2 linked regions of the Kluyveromyces lactis genome follow. The protein of the gene in region 1 interacts with the protein of each later gene in a pairwise test. Links are inferred from orthologs where the notes say so. Each region holds a gene or a part of one and is shown on either strand. Other genes may lie near its edges.

Evidence for each region.
Region 2: the proteins of DSK2 (region 1) and PTH2 interact in binary tests that used the Saccharomyces cerevisiae proteins (3 or more experiments, as listed by UniProt). The link is inferred for Kluyveromyces lactis from reciprocal best matches to the Saccharomyces cerevisiae genes DSK2 and PTH2.

Annotation. Positions count from the first base shown.
Region 1 is NC_006040.1:160,032-163,365, reverse strand, and holds DSK2 (ubiquitin domain-containing protein DSK2), read right to left. Parts: upstream 1,739-3,334; coding exon 623-1,738; downstream 1-622. Other genes in the region: KLLA0_D01881g (uncharacterized protein), read left to right, coding at 1-496; DAT1 (Dat1p), read left to right, coding at 2,360-3,130. UniProt on the Saccharomyces cerevisiae protein: Involved, with RAD23 in spindle pole body duplication. Involved in the ubiquitin-proteasome proteolytic pathway.
Region 2 is NC_006041.1:1,781,688-1,784,484, reverse strand, and holds PTH2 (aminoacyl-tRNA hydrolase), read right to left. Parts: upstream 1,222-2,797; coding exon 577-1,221; downstream 1-576. Other genes in the region: protein phosphatase regulator SHP1, read left to right, coding at 1-434; anthranilate synthase TRP2, read right to left, coding at 1,610-2,797. UniProt on the Saccharomyces cerevisiae protein: The natural substrate for this enzyme may be peptidyl-tRNAs which drop off the ribosome during protein synthesis.

The sequences.
Region 1 (3,334 bases):
CAAATCCGTTTGTTTTTGGCATACTAGCAGTGTTCCGTTGGACATTGTATACTATGTGAATAAGAGCAGTGTCATTTATGAGATTGAGAGGATTAAGATCCAATGGGCGCGGTATTCTGGGTTATCTGATAGATTTAAGTCATGGCAGCTGGGGTTTCCGCTCCCAGAGAAGATCAAACTGCTTTGTGGATGGTTTGGATATCAATCTTTACAAAGTTCGGATATTGCTCTTTTGTATGTGCTACTTAGAGGATACGCTCCCGTTGATGGTCAATCTGAAACAGATTTTGGGATCTTACAATGTGTTGGATCGTACTTAACAGTTGATGTGAAGCAAGTGCTGTGTAATTCCGATTTCAACGGACATCCTAAATGGAGTTCACATTATGATCAGGATACTATTCTCGACTTACTCTATGATACTCTGATCGAGATCCCTGATGAGTCAATGCAAGGCAGAATCTCACGGTTGAAAAGGATTATCACTAAATGGTGATGCCGAAGGCTTTAAATATACAAATAGTACATAACTGAGATGATGATAGATATACAATTGCATACGAAGCGATATGGGTCACATCAGGAGCAAAGGCCTAGAGGGGAGTGGATACAAAGGAAACCATTACACGTCGCCGTTCAACAATGCGTCAAGAGCACCCTGGACAGATCCTCCGGCACGTCTTAGAGCAGCAACATTTCTATCGAAATCAAAGAATCCCATATCGTTTAGTTGTCTGAGTTGAGACTCGTAACGTTCTTCCGGTGGTCTGTTATCTACAGCTGGAGCAGCACCGGTGGCGTTGGAGTTCCCACCGAACATACTAGCTAAAAGCTCTTGGTTGAACTGAGGTTGTTGACCACCTGGGAATAATCCAGCGAAGGGATTAGCTGCTGCGGCATTTCCTGGAGTCGCACCGAATAAACCTGCAAATGGGTTAGCTTGGCCTGTTGAAGATGCTGCAGCACCTGTTGCTGCACTATCGGCATCATTTGTACTAGTTTCATTAGCCCCACCAGCCCCACTAGCACTACCTGGCGCAGGAAATGCAGAAGCGGCACCATCTGGAGACATACCCATCGAGTTGGCCATTTGCATTGACTGTCTAATCATCTGAGGGTCTGTCATCATTTGTCTAAAGAAGGGGCTCTGTAACATATCTCTTGCTCTCGGACCCAAAGCCTGTAATTGGGGGTTCTGTTGGATCAAGAAGTCGACCATTTGTGGATTACTCAACATTTCATTCATTTGAGATTGGAAGATGGGGTTCTCTAACATTTGTAGCATGGATTCGGGATTGGCGCCGTTACTGCTGTTCAGGCCACCGTCTGGACCAAACATATCAGCTGAGGGCAAATTGGCGAGACCTGCATAACGGGCACCAGTCAAATCAGCCAATGGGTTAAATCCACCAGTCTGACCAGCAGAAATGTTGGAAGGAGCTGCTGAGTTAGTTGCAGCTGGTGATGCTGCACTGCCAGTTGTTGTACTGCCGGTTGTCGCAGCGGATGCACCACCAGACTTCACCATATGCACAGAATGGCCATCCTGGATTTTGTAAGATTCAACGGTCTCTGTATCTTTCAAAATCTTCCCGGAATAAATCAAACGCTGGTTATCGGCAGGAACACCACTTACACCACTGATAGTCTCCTTAAATGCACGAATTGTAGCAGCACTTTCGATTTCAACCGTCCAATTGTTCTGTCCAGACTTGACATGAACGCTAATCTGTGACATTTTTAACACTGAAAAACTCTCGCTAATATCTAGCAGCCAAAACAGGGGGGAAAGGTACTAAGTACTTAGAAAGTGATCGGTCTTCAAAGGTACAACCTGAAGTTTACAACCAAACATTGGCTTTTCTGTATCTTTAAGTTGTCAGTTAACAAGGAATTGAGTTGAAATTTCCTTTTGAAATCATTTTATTAAGATCGAAAAGTGAAGACAGAGAAAACGAGAACTCAAAATGGGAAGGAATGGCAAGTAAAGGGCCATTATTGATAAGCCTGGGTAAGATACTTTATAGTAGTTTATATTTGTAGATACTAGCACCTGTTAATCGCTTGAAATGGGGGTTTTTCGGCCGGAAACAATAGATTTGAAGGTATTACATGTATTGCAGCCATGTATAAAACTGATTTGTTTTAATCACGTGACGCAGCTTCACCAAAAATTTAATTTCAAATCGAAACGAAAAGCTTCGAAACGAAACACAGAGATCAACACCAAGGCAAGGAATTAGATTAAGTTTGAGAAGCTGGAGTGAGGGTTAGTCAGACAGGTTCAGCTGTGAATATCTTGTAAGAGATATCAGGTGGATATCAGGTGAATACCAGGTGTGTACGGAAACGGAAAGAAATGGCAAAAAAACTGAGTGATGGACGGAAACCTGGGAGTGGACGTAAACCTGGACGAGCCAAGACTTTGGCAGAAGGGCGGAAGCCCGGCAGTGGGCGCAAGAAGGGGTCTAAGAACCTTGGAATCAGTAATGGGGCTGTTAATGCTACTGGTAGTGGGACGCGCCGCTCACGTAGCTCGTCACAGCACTACGGGATGGACCACTCATCGTCGTCTGCCTCTTCCCCAACTATAGCTATGGCTACTTCTTTGCTGCTTCAACAGCAGCAACAGTTTCATAACGGGCAGGCTCACTATGCTGCTCCGCACCGTATAATGAAACGGGGCACAGCGGATAGCGCAAATTCGAGTTCTAATTCAAGCTCGAATTCAGATCCAGTATCGAAACGAGATAGAGAACTTATCGACGCCTTGAACAAGCTCTCACGTTGCAAATCACCTCCACAGTCGCCTGATCCAATGCAGACGGCTAAATTACCCATGCTCTCGTCGTTCTGGGGTTCGGTGGATGTCCCACTGCGACAAGAACATGAGCAACAGCTTCAGCATCAACTCCAACTCCAGCTGCAGCTCCAACACCAACTGCAATTGCAACACCAGCACCAACAGATACATTCACAACAAAACTCACTTAATAGTAACAACTCTCACCAGCAGATTCCAGGTGTCATGTGGCCCAATACGCCGCCGCCTCAAGTCGCTAGTTCTTCTTCATCATTGCACCAGAACAACCCTTCAGCTCATCCTTCTGACTTAAACTCTTCTCACTGACCTGACATATGTGTATAACAATCTGTATATTATACTATATTGTATTGAATGTACATATATTTAACGTATTATTAGTATCCATCGTTTTTCACAGAGCTTTTGGTCAACCGTTAATTATCTTTGGCCAAGCTTTTCATTTAACAATGTTGTTCAGTTTCCATCTTTAAAGATCTAATTCATGCCCGTAAATATAAACTTATCATT
Region 2 (2,797 bases), on another chromosome or scaffold:
GACAAGAGGTCGATGTCACGGTCTATAAAAAGTTGGAAGAGCCTTACGTTCCACCTAAGAGAAAAGTGAGTGGCTTCCAAGGAACAGGTAAGAGATTGGGCTCACCCATTCCTGGTGATGCAGTAAACTCTCAATCAGCATCGCCTGCCGAATCTACTCCAGTAGGGACTGAAATCAAAGAAAAATCGCCAGATGACGAGCTAAAGGGAGACACTAGTGTACAGATCAGATATGCTTCTGGGAAGAGGGAGGTGTTACGTTGTAACTCTACAGATACCATCAGATTCTTGTACCAGCATGTTAAAGCTAACACAGCAGAAATGCGCCCATTTACACTAAGCCATGCATTTCCCGTAAAACCCATTGACGAATTTGACTCCACTTTGAAAGATCAAGACCTATGCAATGCAGTGGTGGTCCAAAGATGGGTATAAATCTTAAATATAGTATAATTTTACAAAGATTATTACATATGTACAAGTTTAAATATACGGAGACAACCTAAATCCTTATATTTTCAGGATAGAGTTGTTTATGCAGTCGATGATTATTCCAACGATTTGAGAGATCGAAGTATCAGTAAAGCTTGAGATCACCAGTAATTTGGTCAAGGACTGCTTTCGGAGCAGGTCCCAAACCTAAAACAGTAGCACTTCCCGCTGCAATTTGTGTTCTACCAGCATCATGAACAACGTATGAGTTAACTCCTAATGCAATAGCCTTAGCGAAGAGCTCATCCATTGTTTCCTTATCTGGACATTTTAAAGTAATCTTTGCTTGACCTCTTGCCAACCATCTGTGAGTCATCTCCGGATTATATGAAGTTCTACTTGGATCACACGCAATAAGCCTAAAACAGGCTAATGCAGCATGACAACATTGAGCAGCGATTTTCCCTTTAGTCATTCCCAAATCTTGCCTGATAACCAAGGCCATCCTTACTTCACCAGGAATGTCATTTAGGCATATGGAATCTACTGCAATGCCATCTTCATCTTCATCTTCATCCTCAGATTCGTCTTCATCCTCGTCCTCATCACCATCGTCATGTTCACTGGCATACGCTTGCTCATCTCGCTCAGCCTTAATCTTCGCTTGTTTCAACAATTCTTGTATCTCATCCTTCCTTGATGGTGTTATCTGTCCAAGATAATATCCAGTTGTCAGAGATAATGCTGACAGCGTGAACAACACTGCTAAATTCAACGATGATGGTGCCATCTGGATAGCAGTTATGGTTTGATGTAGCTGTAGTGATAGTGTCAGTTTCCTCTGCTTTAATATGCTCTGCCAGTGATCTCCTTGTCATCACTTGGAATATATCGGTTTAATGTAAAATTTTCCTAAAGAAAAGATTATATGCAACTGCTGGATAGAAACGTATGAAGTAGGACGTCTGCTGGTACTTTAGACCACCAGATTCCTACTCCTACCTTTCGTATATTTATCCAGTGGCATTAATCCATTCATATGTGCATCCATGGTACACTTAAAGCTACCTTTTTACAATTCTATAACAAGTCTAATGTGAATACACGATAGAATACATACTGTGAACGAAACGGGAAAGGTTCAGGTTCAACTATTAGTGGATATGACATATACAGCGCTAGTCTTGAGTGCCAACTTTCTCAGCCCAAATTTGCTCTGCTTGTAGAATAGTATTGTGGTTAGCTTTCATTTTGTTCATTGTTTCTACGTACTCATCATATGGGTCAGAATCAAATATGATACCACCACCAGCTTGCAAATAGGCTATACCGTCTTTATAAACCATTGTTCTCAAGGCAATGCATGTGTCCATGGATTTTCCGTCATATGACCAGTGTCCAACGGCACCAGCGTAAACACCCCGTTTTTCACCTTCCAGTTCTCCGATCAATTCCATGGCCTTGACCTTAGGAGCACCAGAAACTGTTCCTGCAGGGAAAATAGACCTTAGAGCATCAAATCTGTTTTGATCCTTCCTTAGTGTACCACTGACTTGAGAGACAAGATGTTGGACGTGAGAGAACTTTTGCACTGAAAGTAACTCATCCACGGAAGTGGTGGTTGGATCACAGACCCTGTTCACATCATTACGGGCTAGATCAACTAACATCACATGTTCTGCTCTGTCCTTAGTAGAATTTCTCAACTCTTCCGCTAATCTGTCATCTTCTTCTGGAGTCTGACCCCTTCTGACTGTACCAGCAATGGGATGAGTGATAACTTCGTTTTTGGCATCAACTTGGCATAACAATTCAGGTGAAGCACCAATGATTTGGAAATCCAAATAATCGATATAGAATAAGTATGGCGAGGGATTCACAGTACGCAAGTGTTTGTAGATATTGAATGGGTGAAGTGAAGTTGGTCTAGCGACACGTTGAGATGGAACACATTGGATGATATCACCCTTCTTGATATGTTCTTTCAAATCTCTCACGTGCTGTTCGTATCCTTCTTGACCAATGTTTGATGTGAAAGTCTGGTTCAATTTGATTGATGGTTGTTCAGGTAATGGTATCGGACTAGATTCATCCTTCAAGATGGCGATAATGCGTTTGATAATCTCAGATGCATCTTCGTAACCTTGTTCCAAAGATGAGACCGTCTTCACATTGATATTAGTTATGATCTGGAACCTTTGGAAAACATGATCAAATGCAACAATGGTATCGTATAGCATCAAAGCAGATTCTGGTACTTGTAGCACATCTTTCAATGGTCTCTTCGTCTTTGGTTCAAAATACTGAACACAGTCGTAAGAAACATAACCAATAGCACCACCAGAAAGCTTGGGTAAGCCTGGAAC